Linked DNA regions of Cricetulus griseus. The protein of the gene in region 2 purifies or fractionates together with the protein of the main gene of each other region. This does not show direct contact. Links are inferred from orthologs where the notes say so. Each region holds a gene or a part of one and is shown on either strand. Other genes may lie near its edges.

Region 1 (8,475 bases), on a different chromosome or scaffold from region 2:
TTGCCCCTAGAGATCTCCCAAACATCTCTGCCTTGAAAGTTCTCTCCTCTTGCATGTTTGTTCAAATTTTAATCATTGCTAAGTTTTCATTAAAGGCAAATTGTTGACAAACTAACTGCTAATAAAACTCAGCCCTAGTCCCCTGGCAATCTCAGATTTCATCTGCAGGTCTTCCAGCTATTCTCTAAGAAAACTATTAAAACAAAAGCAATGGAGGGAGAACCAAAACGGCTTGGGTTTTGGCATTAAGTCTGCCTCGCAGGATGAATGCTTATCAGTAAGACAGTGTGATGACCCAATGCTGCTCATTTGTCCAGATACCCAAGTACCTCCTGTGTTGGAAGCACTCTCCTGGGACTCTGATCAGAAGGGAGGGGACAGAGACCCCTGGCCACACAGAGCTTGTGTCCTGTAGACACTCTTCAGTGACTTTGGTTGGTTCACTACTGCTTCTCACACACACAGAGAATCAGGATTTGAGAGTCAAACATTTTTGCACATGGTCTAGACCTGCACTACCCAATACAGTAGCTGCAAGCCATGTAGCTCTTGAGCACTTGAAAGGTAGAATGTCCAAACAGAGTGCACAGTGTATACAGAATGCAAAATAGACTTCAGGGACTTGATATTAAGGAGGGATATAAAATATCTCTGTTATGGGATTTTGCACTGATTACTTGACATACTAAGTTAAATAGATAAATAGATTTATGGTTTAAATGAAATTTACCAGGCTTCTGTTCCCATATGTCTATGGGACACCAATGATTCTGTCTGCTGTGGATGACAATACAGAAATGAAAGCCTGAAGTAGTAAAGGGTCTGCCAGGATCAGTGTCCCAATGAAAGGCAGCCTACAAGGCAAGGAAGTAAGTGTAAAGTCTACAGCAGTCAGGAATGAGATGTAGCAGCAATGGTGTTGAATGCCAGATGACCAATCCAGAGCAAACACCCCTGTGTCTTGAACCCACTCTTTCGTCTATATCCCCATATTCCACACCACAGCACTATAGCCTCAGGCAGCTAGAGTCCTGATGCCCAACTCTATGACAAGCAGGGACAAGGACACCACAGTGCATGGAGAGGCAGGGGCATGCAGCCAGGCCGGGCTGGCCTCATTCTGTAAGGCCAAGTGTGGAGAGAAGGGAAGGGGGATTGAATGGGATAAGGAGATGATGATTCATGATCCCTGAATAATTTTCTTCACTTTTTTTTTTTAAATAGAGACCAGATATGGAGACAACAGGGGGCTTCTTTAAAAAAAAAAGCCTTTTAGTTCCATATTATTTTTTTAGAAACAAGAAAATATGCAAAAGAAAACTGTAAAATACTGGAGCAGAAAGATGTGGGAAAATATGGCTCTCGGATGAGAGAAGATCTGTCAGAGCCTGAACAGACGTCCCAAAGACATATTAAAATAAAGTTCATTTGGGGGAAGGGGTTGTGCTCAATCCCTCCTCCCCCAAATATCAAAGTCTGTATTTTGCAAGGCAGGGTAGGACAGTTAGGGACCACCTGCCATGGAGCAGCCAGGAAAGCATCAGGAAATAGCATCTTAGAGGAATACAGGGAGATCTCAGGGATGGGCAGATCCTGGGAACTTACTCTAGTGCTCCAGGCAGAGGACTGATCTCTCTGGCCAGAGACAGGGAGGCTGCTGCTACTCTCATCCAGCTCCTGTCTACAGTCCCCTAAACCAGGTCAGTGATGACAGTGAGAAACAAAAAAAATAAAAAATAAAAAAAGAACGAGTCAGCAGAGCCAGCAGCTGAGTGAACACGGAGAGAGAAAGGCTGAGTGAGCTAGCTGGGGCTGGGAGGACAGGAGGGAGGGTGGAGAGCTGGGGGGTGGGGCTAGAGGCTGGCCAGGCTTAGGAGTTTCAGCTGCTAATCTATTTGCACTCACTGCTCCTCAGCTCCAAACCTACACTGCTGAGGCTTCCCTGAAAAGATGACCAGGAGCCTCTGATGCAAGAAGCTCCATCCTCCAGGACTTGACCCAGCAGAACACTCAATCCAATCGAGCTTCCTACTCTGTCTGGGAGGAGCAACAGGCAGCCTTCAGTAGAAGGTGCATTCTCTTTAGAGGAATATGTCTGCATGCAAGGCCATGCATGCACTCTCTCTAGGCAGGGATCAGGACTCTATAGAGTGACCAGAAATCCTACTTTTCTGGGGTCCATGTGTGAGGAGGGGGGCGAGACAACTGAGAGAAAAACAAGTTCTTCAAGAGCATCATAAAGGCAGCCTAGCCGCTCTCACCTCCAAAGCTCTTCCACAGGCTTTTCACATACCACTCCCTAAGCCTCCCAAGCACCTGGCACCAAATACCACCTAGGAAGTACTTTCTGACCCAACCGCCCGCCCGCCTGCCTGCCTGCCTGCCTGCCCTTATCCAAGAAATAAGCACCTCCTTGCAGCTGAATGACCCACAGTGGAAAATGCTCTGAAACCATAAAGCTTCCTTGCACACAGATCTGCTTCATGTCAGTAATTATTTCTTCATATTAAGTTTTTTTTTCTGTTGTTCCAAAAAGTTCTGCAAACACTTCAAGAGCAAGCTACAAGGGCCAGCTGTACAGAATACTAATTTGAAACAGTTCACAAGGTCCCCTTATGCAGTTGGGTTATGTAAAGATGCTACTTTCTATGACCATTTCAATTCTAAATAAAAGCTTCCTTACAAGGAATGCATCCCATCAAAAGGTTAAAAAGTGGGAGAAACCTATGGTCCAAGAGATTAAGAGGTCGGCTTTACTGTTGTCTCAAGTAGCTTTAAACTCATGGGCACTTCTTTAAATATGGAGGAGTTGGCGTCATCATAATACAACCTCATTAGCTACAGTCAAAACACCAAGATGGTGGAGGGCAGCTTTCCACATTTCCCCGTTTCTTCAATAATGAGAGAGAGCAACAGACCAGTCTTAGTCCAGGAAACGCCTCAGACTAAACACATACACACACACAGCACACACAAACACACACAGCACACACAAACACACACCACACACACACACACACACACACAGAGAGAGAGAGAGAGAGAGAGAGAGAGAGAGAGAGAGAGAGAGAGTTGTGTGTTTCAGGGACAGGAAGGAGATAAACTCCCAAACGCCACCATACCTCAGGCTTATATAGCTTTTCTCAGTAATATAGGCAACAACGATCTAACCCGGTTGCCCTTCTTCATTGGCTGACTCTAGGATGGCATAGCAAAGAAGAAAGATGAAGAAAAAGGTACTACTTAGTGGATGGAGCTGGAAGGAAGGAAGGAAGAAAGGAAGGAAACATTCAATGCAGTTTTCTGATTCTGTAACAGCTGAGCCTCACTAACCACACAACAGCCCACTTTTAAATCACCTTCATGGCTGAGCTGTGGCTGAACTGTCTGGTGGGCAGTGCACGGCACATATAATCTGCCTGGTCTTGAACACTGGAGGATGCAGACTAAGTGTGTGCTTGACTGGGAGACGGATAGGGAATGCAGGAGGCTGCAAGTCAGGCTGAAAGCTTGGTAATGATACTGGCAGTGGAGCTGAAGAGTGAGCCCTTAGCACTCCACACACTCTCTGACCAACAGGCCAAGAGCCAAACCCTTCCCTCTAGAGTTCACAAACTGATCTCCAGATACAAGGCAGGTATTATGGGAGAAACTCACCCTAAAGAGTGTGACTATTTGCTCTAGGTGCACACACTAAAGTTACTTACAAAAGTAGGGACCTCTCTTTTGGTAACAGTCTAGAGATAGCTGAGCACCCCACCTCCATAATTTTAATGACAGTAAGGGACATTCTGTGTAGATACTGGAACAATTATTACAAACATCAAAATCTTCTACACATCAGAATCTTCAAAAAGCTCCTAATTCACATCTGGGTACTCCAAAACCAAGGTGTCCCTTCAGCTACCTGCTCAGAGTTACGAAGAACTTGATCTTCACAAACAAGAATGGCAAAAGACAGAACCACAGTTGGTCCAGCTGGCCGCAGGGAGAAGAAATTCAACCTTCTTTAGTCCCCACCCCACACCCTTCAACTGCAGGGTAAAATGTGGGGCGTGGGGGGGGGGCGGGGAATCACACCTCTGGAGACTTCCAGCACGGTAGAATTCTTGGTAAGCTTTCCTTCCACCCTCTCGGCTGCCTGGCAAGCTTTCTGGCTCACTCACTGCCTTGCCAAGCAAACTACACTGGAAGTTGTAGCCAGCAATGGCCACCCTCACCCTCCTTCCAGGGGGCAGCTGGAAGGAGGAGCTAACCATCTTGACTTTTACTTCCAGAACCAAACTCGTCACAATTCAAACGGTTACATATATAGCTGTTCTTTGCAAATCTGTTAAGTCTATTAAGTCTTTCGTTGTCAGCACTTTATCCTCAAATCGAGGGGCAAAAAGGATTTCAGACCAGGAATTAGTCACGGCCCTGCAGAAGGGTTTCTACACATTTAAAGGGGGAGAGGGGAGAAAAGGGGCTGAGACTACCCAGATCTGACAATCGGCTCAGGTGGAAATTCTATATTCTGGAAAAACCAAATAGGCATTTCCTCACCAGCGCCCCCCCCCCTTGACTTTGAGGTCGCCCGCCCGCCCGCTCACTGAGTATCAGAACTTAGGTGTAAGGGCTACCAGCTGGCACTGCAGGTTCCTCAACTTCCTCAGATGTCCCACCCACCCTCTTCGCGAACGGCGGTAAAGGGTACCCACACCGCAACGGGCAGCCGCGCCTCTAAGTCACCAACAGCACCGCTATCAGAGTCAACTAACTCTGCACGACTTTCAGCACACGCGGTAGGCAACTTTCGATCCCCAAGGGGAGGAACCAGGTTTCTCAGTCGCCGTATTCTCGAGAAGTTTCCGAGAGACGCGCAGCTTCTTGGCCGCGCGCAATGTCCACAGTCCCAGAAGAGAGAATGATCTCTGCCGCCATCCTGGGCACTGAGCCCAGGAAGCTGCCCTCCCCTCGCCTGCCAGGCTCTAACCCCGGACCGCAGCGTCTCCATCTAAGCCGCCGAAACCGCGGGGTTCAAAACCGCCCCGGTTCTGGCTGCAGTGTGCGCACCACAGGGGCGCAGCGCAGAGCCGACGGACCTACTGGCAGGGTCAATGAAAGAGCAAGAAGTGATCGCCACCCACTCTCCTGTTGCCGGGCCAGCAGGAGCTCGCCCAAGTTTGCCAGACCCCGGTCATAGTCTCTGAAAAGTTTGCGCTCTCTCACGGAGGTAGCCTGAGCCAGGGGCGCAGGAGCCGTGCGGGTCCTGACACCTGCCGGTGTCTCCCCTCCATCTCCGGGGAATCCCACCAGGCTCTGCTGGGACGAACCCGGGAGCGTGAGAGCGTGGCTCCCCGCTGGACCGCAGCAGCATCCTCACACCTGCGGAGGAAGAGGAGCGCAGACTCACCTGGACGCTGGAAGAGGAGGCGACAGAGGCAGGTGGTTGGCGTGGGCAGCCCCGAGCAGGAGCGGCGCGGTGACTATGGCCCCCAGGCAGCTGCCGCGAGTGAGCGGTCCCGCCGCCGCCCCCTCCGATCTTAACCGGCCTGACCACTCCCCCGCGCCTCCCCGCCCCTGCCCCCGCCCGCGGCCGGCCTCCCGGGGGAGCCAGGGCGGGGCGCGCCGGCCGCGGCCCCGCGGGATCCTTGCGCCCGGCGCTAACGGCGGGGGCCCGGGCGAATGCCGCCCTCTGATTGGCTCTGCGGGTCAATGGTTGCCGAGAGACAAGTAAACCTCCGGAGGCGCGAAGGGGCGGGGTAGCCCGGAGGCAGCGTTGCGCAGGCGCAATAGAGAGGGGGCTGTGTCGCCACCAATTTAGGAGTTGAGGGGACACTTTCGCTCTGTCCGCTCGCCTCCTTCTCTGCGGCTCCTGGTCTTTGCCTTCCCTTGCCCCGAGAGTTCTCACCTCCACCATTCTTGCTCCCTGTGGGTTGCGTTTTCTTTCTGAATTTTGGGCGCTCTTGGCACCAGTGGCTCCCTGATTCCGGGAGCCGGGAGTGGAAGCCCACGCCTGTCTCGCGGGGTGTTTGTGAAATCAGAAAACTTTTAGGTGGGTCCTGGAAATCTTATTCCTCGAGCAAATTGGCTGGAGGTGAGATCGTGGTCCTGGAGGAAAGGAAGCAGCTGATTTTCTGGCCGCGGGACCACCTGTGTGCAGTTAGTTAGTGGCCCCGGAACCCATCACAAAAGCCTAAAGCACAGCATCTAGGCCCTCAGAACGAACGGCAAAGGGCTTTGTGACCTGTTAATACCCGCCGGGCGGGGGACCCCGGACACTGCCCTTAACACCCCTACACGTGGTTGGTTGATGGCTCGCTCTGCTTCAGAATTCAGGCTAATGAGTGGGAATCTCCTTCACCACTATATATCTGGAGGGCCTTGAGAGGAGCTGTTTTTGTTTTATTTGGGGTTTGGGTTTTTGAGACAATGTCTCCTGAACCCAGACAGGCCTCTAAGTAGCCTTGGCTGACCTTTAACTGATCCTCCAGTGTGCACCTCCCACGACTGGGATTACAGGAGTGGCCTACCAGGCCCAGCCTTCCTGACTGGCTTAACCTATCCTCCATGAACCTCTACTTCCCATCTGCAGGATAGGAGTAAGGATGGGATAACTGAGACCAATATTAGGAAAATAGGCCTGGTGGTGGTGGTGGTGGTGGTGGTGGTGCACACCTTTATCCCCCCGCACTCAGGAGGCAGAGACAAGCAGATCTCTGCGAGTTCGAGGCCAGCCTGGTCTACAGAGTGAGTTCCAGGACAGCCAGGGCTGTTATACAGAGAAACTCTATCTCGAAAACAAAACGACAACAACAACAAAATTAGGAAAATAGTTATTAATCATGCACTGCTTGAAATAAAGTGCATGCCAGGTGCTGTGTAAGTCAGAAAGCAGTCATTAATAAACACTTGTTGAGCTTCCTTTGACTCTCTCCTGGGTACCTGGGGTGCAAGATGACTTCCTGAATCAGTGTTCTCTGCTCTCCTACCACCCCTGCCTAGCATGAGTGCCCTGCAGTGTCTGCTAGGCTGCGAAGAGTTCTCAAGTACAGGCTTTCTCTGGTGGGGGGAGGGGAAATTGTAACAGTATAAGACATCAGTATGAGAACTTACAGAGATTGGGTGTCCCTGTTCTTGAACACAAATTCAGGGGTAGGTGGTCAGTTTTGTTGTTGATGGTGTGAGCACTGAATGGTCTCACAGTGTCTATTATTGTGTGCTGAATGATGGGTGTGAGTACCCACAGGGCTGTCACCCACAATAGTCCAGCTTAGCCATGGCTCCTGCCACTCACTATCTCATAGGGTTCAGTTGCACTGGTATTTGAACTTGACATGAACTTGAAATAGAGAGTGAGAATTTTTCTGTCTGTAAGATTTCTCTGTTGTATGTAACAGTGACTCATTCTTCACTACTGCATATTCGTTCAATAACCAACAGTTTATGTTCTCAATTTACTGTTTGGTAGCCATTTCAGTTGCTTCAGGTTTTTGGACAGTCCATAGTGAATTTGCTGAAAATAGTCTTCTATGTGTAGAAGCATCATTCATGTCACACACATGCTAGGGATTGGAACTTCTGGTTTACAGAGTATACACATGTTAAGCTTTAAATATATTGCCAGTGATCTGAGTATGAAAAATAACCAAGGAAAAAATAAAAACTTAAACCATAAAACAAAAAAATAGATACATTTTTTAAAACAAAAGGGATAAACTGTTTATGTTCAACCAGTACTGTAAGATTCCTGGTGATGATAACACATATTTACCACTTTTGGTATCAAGGTGTTTAAAATGTTTTAACTATATTTTCTTGTTGGAGGGTGGTGTGCATACCACAGTGGGTATGTGGAGGTCATAGGACAGCACTTGGGAGTGGGTTCTCTCCTCCCAAGGTGTAGGATCTGGGGGTTGGATTCAGGTCCTCATCGGGCTTGGCCACAAGCAGCTTTGCTCGCTGAGCCATCTCCCGGGCCCAAGTGTTTCCTCTTTAAATTAAAAACAGGGATGTGCATTTCATTGTAATTAAACATTGTTTCTCTGGTGATCAATTCGATTGAGCAACTTTTCAGATGTTTACCATCCATTATGATGGTCTTTAAGGGATGTATCTATTCATGTCGTTTGCCAGTTTGAACTCTACAAGTTCTTTACATATTCTTGATATAAGTCCTTTGTTTCAAATACTTTCTCTCAACCTGTGGCTGACTTACAGTTTAATGTTACTTTCTGATTAAAATAATTTCTTAATTTTTAATCAGCCCAATTTATCAATCTTTGCTTATTTTTAAGGCCTAGTGTTTTGTGTCCTGTGTAAGGACTCTCCACCTATCCCAAAGCCACAAAGATAATTGCTTTTGTCTTCTTCTGAGAATTAAGTTTCAAGCCTTGAGCAAATAACTGACCTTCTACAAAGTTCCAATCTCAATAACACTTAAGCAAATTATTACCTTGGCTTTTGACACAGATACTGGCATCAAAGGTAGGT
Region 2 (8,670 bases):
GGCAGGGAGGGGACAGTAAAGCAGTGGTCAGTTATTAATTACTCCTCCCCCCTTCTTTTTCCAAAAGAGGGTCTCAACAGTGAAGCCCTGGCTGGCCTGCCCTGGAACTCACAATGCAGATCAGGCTGACTTCTAACTCAGAGGTCCTCCTGCCTCTGCCTTCGGAATGCTTAAAGGCATGTGCCACCATGCCTAGCTGTTAGTTTCTTCTTAAAGCAAAATGGTAAGTCAAAATTGTACAAGGTAGTAATCCAGAAAGGCCAAAACCTAGTTCAAGAGGCATATACTGTCTTTAAGCTTAAGATAGTAAAAATATTTATAAAGGAAGGCAAATTATAGACATAAAAGCATAAAAGATTAATTTTAGGTTTGGTTTTAATGGTTTTTAACAGTAAAATAAAGGGGAGAGACAGTACTGATTCTGTCCAGGCAGTGTCCCATTTACTCTTTCTAACACCTAACACTGACCACATACAAAGCCTAAATGCCTGCAAAGTGGGAAAAAAATGTTCTTATGCTATATTTTAATCTCTTGATATCACAAACTATGTAGTAGCCCTCACCAACTGATCCATAAAGCTAACCTCAGGCACTACAGGTCATCTGGTGATAATACAAGAAGCACAGTGGGAAAATAGAAATAGTGCTGTCTTAGACATACATGTTATGAATTTAGAAATTTCAAAGGAATGTTTAATAATATAATTGAAGTTTTAAAACAACCAGTATTTATCCTTTGAAATTAGCTTAATAACCTTAAAAATCTTTTTTTTTTTTTTTTTTTTTTTTTTTTTTTGGAGACAGGGTTTTGCTGTGTAGGTGTAGCCCTGGCTGTCCTGGAACTCACTCCGTAGACCAGGCTAGCCTCAACTCACAGAGATCCGCCTGCCTCTGCCTCCTGAGTGCTGGGATTAAAGGTGTGTGCCACCACACCCAGCTTTAAAATCACGTTAATAGGAATTTTTTTTAGAGATTTCTGGGTCTTTCTTCTCTCCTTTAATCTACATGGTATAACATTTTTCTAGATGACTCTAGGTTATCCATCTATTACTAATTATTCCATAACAGTGACTCTTCTTAGAGTTCCTGTAGGATTTCTAAATGTTTAGAACTCACCTTGGGCCACCTTTAAAAGACAAGTTATTGCTCCCCTGTCATCACTTACAAACCACCAAGACCCTAACCAAGGTTTCTAAATGCCAGTTGTATTTTTTAGAACTATAAACCCAGCACAGAGTTGATCCACTTAACCTCACAAATTCTAAAGCCAGTCACTGTGTAGCTGCTTCACTGCCATAAGGCCCAGCTCAAAGACTTCTCTTACTTCCTGTTTTGGAGACCTAGACTAAGCTCTTCCCAGAACTTTAGGCACAAAGTGATAAGTATAGTAGTAGTTAGTCTGGCATATTTTCCTTATTTTTATATACCACAAGAAAAGATATGTATACCACTTCAAACAACCATTGGGAAAATACTTCACAATATGTGCTATATGGACAGTCAGCTACCAAGACTCAGTGAACTAGGCCAGATGGCTAACATGGTTTTTACATTTTAAAAAGATTCTTTTAAGCAAGCAAACAAGCAATAATATTCATCAGAGACTACAAATAGCTTGCAAGACAATATTATCAAGCACTACATAAAATAGCTGTCTACCCTTATCTAAGTTAAATAAACACACAACACAATCTACCTACTAAGAAATTTGAAGCTAGAGACCAAAATGCTAAGTGAAACAAAACAGAGGAAGAAAGATAAACACCATATTTTCTCTCGTATACCTAATTTTTACATATTTTTGTCTGTCTAGGTAAGGCATAAAGAGGAAGTGCGACTATGGCGGTATTAAGGGAGAGGGAGGTGGGAACAAGAGAAGGTAATAAGGAGGCACACTTTTCTCTCATAGACACAGACACACTGGCGCGTGCGTGCGCGTGCGCACATGCATGCACGCACACACGCACTCGAGCACACTCTCTGGAAATGAAAGCAGAAGAGGCATTTTGGGGAGAAATGGGGGCCTGAAAGAAGCAGGAAAGAGGGTCCAAACATGGTAATGGAGAAGAGAATGAGCCCAGTACAGTGATACATGAGGATGAGAATGTCATATTGAAATCTATTCTTTGGTATGCTATAAAAAAAAAAATGATGTGTGGTTCTTTATTTCTTTCAAAGATAGGTTCCTACTGATGAGCAGGACTTTCTTCTCCAGGGCTTTCTACTCTTCATACCTAGTGAGGCCTAGCTCTAGTCTTTACCTCATTCTCTTTTTCCTAATGCCTGTCCTTGGATGCTCCCAAAAGGTCTCTCCGGCTGCTAGCTCCAACTCTGCCTGTCGCTCTCTTTTAGAGCTTTCCTTTGATACATAAACACTTCCTAAATTTCAAGTTGGACTTCCTCCAAATGCCAAGACGGTTCTAGCCCTCCCTCACAGAGCTTTGGTCACAGTGGGTGCCACACCTTTAACAATATTGTGTTATAGTTTTTGCTAATGGTCTCCTTTGTTAGTGTACAATTCTCAAATAATTGTAAATGGCTTGAAGGAGCATATCCAGCTGCTTTTGTATCCCTTACTTTGATAATAGCTCATCACCCTTTGAGTCCTTGCAATCTCCTCCGAAAATATACTATCTTGTAGCAGCTATCTTGTGCAGAAAAGTAGCCTAAGTCCTGGAAATGGTTAACAGAGGATAGGGAACATCAGAAATAAAACCCAGAGAACTTAATGGAAGCCCAGAGGCTGCACAACAAACTTAGTATACATTAAAGACAGACAAAACCCAAACAGTAGGAGAAAAGGTTAAAGATTGTGACATAAAAAGAATTCACTGAATAATACTCTGAAAAAAAGACTAAAGTATTAAAAAGGATAAACACGTACAAAACATGTAAAAGAACAAAAATGTGCCCTTAACAATATTGGTAATCAATTTCTTTGTGATAATGAGCTCTGACATTGATACACATTCGTTGTACCAAAGTGATCAATTAAAGTACCACAGGATTCAATGGGCTAGACATGTACAGAATTCTAAATCTGTTTTAAAACATTCAGAACTTAAGTAGTAGTCCTTGTTCGAGAGATTACATTTAACAACAACAAACAACCACCTATCACTTACCATCATCAGGCTAATAAATTTGGAAATCATATGCCCATCCTTGTATCATGCTCTAAGACATAATCAAAACTTATTTTCATGAAAAGAAATGCTCCAAGAATGTTTTGCTTTAAAAAAAATTATTTTGGTTACATTAACACTACAGGCAAAATGCAAAATTAATGACCCTTAAATATATAAACAGCAAAAATACAAATATTTTCAAAACAAGCAGAAATATTACCTATAAGTCTAAACTAAAAAACAATGTTCATTATCTCTTTTTTTTTTTCTCCTGTGTTTTATAGGATCTCTCAGCCTTCATCTCACTAGACATGGAAGGCAATTTGCCTGATTTATAATAAGATAAAATTTATAGAAATACAGTATGTAAAAAAGGAATCATGAAATGCATAGTAAAATAGAATCAACTGTCAATTACACAGAGAGAGGAAATAATGACATGTGACACCAAAAGTCTGTTTTCTTGAATGCTCAACATTAATCTGGGAGAAGAAAATCCCCCTTACAATTGTAACTTAACACTGGAGGCAGTGTTAAGCAAGAGTTTTTTTTTTTTCCTGATCACTCAGTGATGAGGGAGTCACACAGAGGGAAAGGAAGGAGTTAAGGCAGGCGCATACAGGTGGGTAAAGGTAACCAGCCTGAGATAAAAATTTTCCACTTCATCTACAGAGAAAACTGAGAGATGATCTATGAAGACAAGGAAGAAAAGTACAGAGAAATGTAATATGAGAATGCTAAAATTCTTAAATATAAGCAAGATTTTCCCTCTATCACCTCATCATCTCTCCTTCCCTTTAAAGGGTGTTATTAGTGGTAGCAGGAATTACAAGTGGGCTAAAATGCTAAAAACAAACTCTCATATTTATATTTTAGAAAAACCATGTTTTAAAAAATCCTTGGCATTGCTTTCTATTAGGCCCACTATCTGTCTCCACGGGTAATTTATCTCATTAGTTGGGAAAATTAATTCAAACAAGAAAATATTAAGAAGGCAGGGGACTCATCCTTCTGCAACATTTTTAGGTGGCTTAAACAAAACTTACAAGATGGCAAGAATTACATACTTCACAAATACACAAAAACTAAATATTTATCTAAACACGAGCTCTGAGCCAGAAATCTCAATTTGTTTCTGTCTGACATATGGCACAATCTTGAGTGGCATATGTTTAGCACTAATGCTGGTAAAAGCACAGTGATTAAAATATTATAGAATAGCTTCAACTGTTATTTCATTCTTACAACTGATCTTTTCCAAAAGGCAGAGAAGCAATACGATTTGATTCTTATGACACAGAAAAACACGCACAAACTTGGCTTCTCAGAACTAAGATAGACCACAATACCGAAGCAGCAAAATCAATATATGGCTCAATTTTTTTAAAGTCTACCGTGAACACATAAAGATTAAACTATAAAAAGAGGAAAATCCTGTCAGCCTACCCTTCTCAGAAATAGATGGACAGACAAGAAGGTGCCCAAAGGAAAGACTTTACAGTCTCACAAGAAAAAAAAAAAATCTCTAGCTCACCATCCCCAGCAATCGTCACACACACACACACACACACACACACACACACACACACACCCCACAATTCCACGGCTTCTATAAAAGGTGGTAGTTTAATTTAAAAATAAAAATAATACGATTACCTATCGCACTCTTTTCAAGACAGCAGCGCTCGCGATCTGACGTCGAAATGATTTGCTCGCTTTCCTGCACCAAGCGCACGACGCCCTTTGCAGAGTCGTGTCAAAAGTTCACCCACGCAGGCTGGGGAGCCTGGCGAGGACCGCAGCCTCCCGTCCTCCTCCCGACCGAACAGGTGGTTAACTTACCTGGGCACGGGAACCGCCGGGTGCTGGCAGCCGCGGCCGGCCGCCGGGGCGCAGACCCGAAGGGCGTGTTTTCGAGGATTTAACCCCCAGGTGAGCGGGCTGAGCTCCGCGGTCGCCGCCGAGCCCCTGCAGGTGCCGCGCACGTCGCCGCCGCGTCCCGGACCCGCCGCCCCACGGACAGCGCTCCCCCTCCCTCCCACACGGGGCGGGGGGGAGGAGGGGGCGTCGCCCACCCCTCGACGGGCTCAGCCCTCGGGCGCCGCGACCCCGCAGCCCCAGCCTAACGGTTTCCCCGACGCGGGCTCCCACGTCCCCCGCCGGCTCTCACCTCCGAGTGCCGCCGCTCCGAGGCGGAGGAAGGCGGATCCCCTGGCGTGTCTTCTGCGGGGCTCCGGATCGTTCCTCTCACAACCGTGACGGTGGGCCCGGCTCCCGTGGCCGCCGCTGCGCGCACTGTTGGGGGTTGTTTCCCGGCAGTGACGGCGCCGCCTCAGCCCCGCTCTTCGCTCCCTCTCCGCGTAGCTCCCGCTTTCTGTTTCACCCGAGGGACCGCGAACGCCGCCGCCGCCATGATTACTACGGAGCCGGGAGGAGGAGGAGCCCCGGAGTCGGCGCGCCCAGTGCGGCTGCGCGAGCCCCGCCGACGGCGCCCCCGGCCGCGGGGACCCGGAGCCCCCGCGCGTGCTCGTGGCCCCGCGTCCAGGCTTCGCGGGCGGCTAGTGGTGCGGCGCTGCCGCTCTCCCTAAGCCGGGCAGTGCCCCGGGAACTGTGCTGATGATTGACATATCCGGAGCCACACACGCCATTCCAAAAGCATTTGAGAAAGCGTCCCCACCCTCCACCCCCGGAGATGAACCGTGTCAGCCCCTCTACGAAAACCCAGAACTTAGAACGCGGGCAGGTGCTTTGCGCTCAGACGTCTCCACTCCTAAACGTTTAGAGCCCCGGGTATTTGATAGCACCCACAAAACGGATTTACTTCGTTCCGAAACGCAGTGGTTAATCTCTTGGTCTCGGACCAGCCAAATCGAGTGGAAACCCGTTACCTTGATTTCTACAACAGCGGGGACCGAAGCGAAGGCGGCAGCAATTTCGTTAAGCCTCAAGCAGTGGGGGACACGCTGCGGTAATACCTGAGGGCTGGCCAGGACTGCTTACTTTTGCAGTTTCACCGGAAGCCTTGGGGAGAGGGTCGTCTTTGGGAACCTGAGTCCTACCCTGTCCTTCCAAAACTGGTGCCTGGCGAAACCAGGCTCCACGTCTGACTTGTATTTCGGTTTATTAACTGTGCTGCGTTTTAAGATGGCAATCTTGTTTTTTTTTTTTTTTTTAAACCATATGACAGAAATCTCTTGAAGATGTACGTATTTCTTACGTTCTCAAAGAAAACAATGGATAAGGAAATTCTTAGCGGATCACTGACTATCAAATGGAATTATTCAGACCCTACACCAAAGTCCCAAGGGATTGCAGAGTGTATAGAGTCCCCACTTTTGGTGCTTTTTTCCCCCACTGTTCTCCTCACTTTTGGCGAAGACCCCTCACTTAGCCTTGATTTATCTGCCTCTATATCCTCTTTAACCCTTTCTATTTTCCGGTGGTGGTGGTGATGTCTTTTAAGCCCTCTTTTTTTTTTTTTTTTTTTCCCTACTTTTCTCCATGGCTGCAGGCAATAATTGATCGGTGTTTATATCCACAGCCAGCTAATGAGAAGATCTTTTTCTTCCCCTTAGTAAGTAGGACAGTGACACTATCAAATGCTATTTTGAGATGAGTTTTTTTTTTTTTTCTTTTTGCTCTTCAGTGAAGGACCAGAAGTCCTTTCCCTAAGAGAAATGTTTCATTTTCTTAACTTCCAGCTTTGGCCCTCTTCCAGACAAAATTGCTGGAAAGCTGATCTTGGAATAACAGAAGTATAACTGCTCATTGTTTGACAACATAAGAGTTTATATCAGACTGTGGAGGAGTTGTGTGGCTTCTCCATCCTGCAGCCCAACTGTTGTTCGGTTTGAGGCTAAACTAGTGGTCTCCAAATTTAACTCTAAGCTAGTATTTTCCAAAGCTTTGTGCTTGTGAACTCTGTAAAAATGCAGAATCCTACAATCTGCCCCTTCAAGATTCTGGTTCCCTCATTCAGCGGTAGACAAAGCAATAGATTTTTAAAATAAACCTGCATTTTGAGAAGTATGTGTAAAGTCCGTGTACATACCATAGGCAGAGCAAGAAATAATAGCTCCATTGAAGGAGATGGGGCCATGTAATTCAAGACATCACTGAAGCAGAACTAGACACTTTGATATGATACACAATGCTGTGAGATGGAGTTGGGTAAAAACTGGGGGATTTATATTCTGTGGCGAGAAAGAAACATACACATAAATCACCATAGTCAGAGAGGCACAAGAAACTATGCTGGCTTTGAACAGGCCTTTATTTTCTTTATCAGTAAAATAAATGCCATTTCAACCGTCATCCTTCTTGAGCTCCAAGCAAGAGTAAACAGTTTGAACACTGTTCTTCCTTGAAATTTTCTTCTTTATTTAGCACCCATTTTCTTAATTTTCCTGCTATTTTTCTGGGCACAGTTTCTCCAGTCCCTTTGGGTATTTCCATTCTTCTCCCTGCCTATTACACATGTGTGGGCTCAGTGTTTAAGAGCAAGTGCTGCTCTTGCCAAGGACATGAATTCAGTTCCCAGCACCCACATTGGGTGGCTCACAACCACACACATAACTCCACTTCCAGGAGTTCCAACACCGTCTTCTGGCCTCCAATGGAACTTGCACTCATGTGCTCAACACACACACACACACACACACACACACACACACACACACACACACACACGTAAACACACAGTGCCTTTGCCTGATAATTGGTGTTTCCTTCATGGGGATGTTTTGATTGACTATCATTCTTCTCGAACACCCCTCCATCACTATTTTGTCTTCATCCTTTAGTCTAGCAAGAACTGTCCCTATCGTTTCAGAATGCTTGGGCTTTCTGCATGTTGATGCTGCTAAGGAAGCACCAGTGCAGATTCTCATTTCCCTGCTGCCAGGTCCAAGTCAAAGTCTCCTAAGGAGCCTGCAACCATTTTGGAAGCTGAGGAAGCTCTCCATGGGAGGACTGGGCTTAGAAACAACCTACGGGAATCTGAGAGTCAACCAACTGTGTGGTTATGAGAGATCCAAATGCCAAGTGTTTCAGGCATGGGCTTTGAGTTTGTCAGGTTCGCTGCAGTGGAGAAAGTCCATGCAGTTATGAATGTCAGGCCATACAATGTAGATGGAAGAGTTGGGGAGCCAAAGAGAACTATGCCAGGAGAAGATTCCCAAAAGATCGTTAGTGGCACTGAAAAAGGCATTGAAGAATATCACATGTGAGATTATTTTGAATAGTATGGGAAAATTGAAGTTACTGAAATCATGACTGACAGAAGCAGTAAAAAGATAGGGGCTTTGCTTTGTTGCCTGTAATGGGTGATTTTATGTCAGCTTGACACAAGCTAGAGTTATCTGAAAGGAAGGAATCTCAATTGAGATGGTCTCCATAAAAGCCATCTCTGGGGCATTTTGTTAATTAGTTATTGATTTGGAAGGGCCTAGCCCATATTGGTTGGGCCTCCCCTGCTCTGGGGGTGGTACTGGGTTCTATAAGAAAGTAGACTGAGCAAGCCAGGAAGTAGCACTCCCCCATG

Evidence for each region.
Region 1: the proteins of Fndc3a (region 2) and Tent5c purify together in Homo sapiens (affinity purification with western blotting; 3 studies listed by BioGRID, with this or other methods). This does not show direct contact. The link is inferred for Cricetulus griseus from reciprocal best matches to the Homo sapiens genes FNDC3A and TENT5C.

The regions. Positions count from the first base shown.
Region 1 is NW_023276806.1:56,480,276-56,488,750, reverse strand, and holds the start of Tent5c (terminal nucleotidyltransferase 5C), read right to left. Parts: upstream 5,651-8,475; 5' UTR 5,396-5,650; intron 1-5,395. UniProt on the Homo sapiens protein: Catalyzes the transfer of one adenosine molecule from an ATP to an mRNA poly(A) tail bearing a 3'-OH terminal group and enhances mRNA stability and gene expression.
Region 2 is NW_023276807.1:227,224,251-227,232,920, forward strand, and holds the start of Fndc3a (fibronectin type-III domain-containing protein 3A), read right to left. Parts: upstream 5,427-8,670; 5' UTR 5,299-5,426; intron 4,989-5,298; exon of another isoform or gene 4,971-4,988; intron 1-4,970. UniProt on the Homo sapiens protein: Mediates spermatid-Sertoli adhesion during spermatogenesis.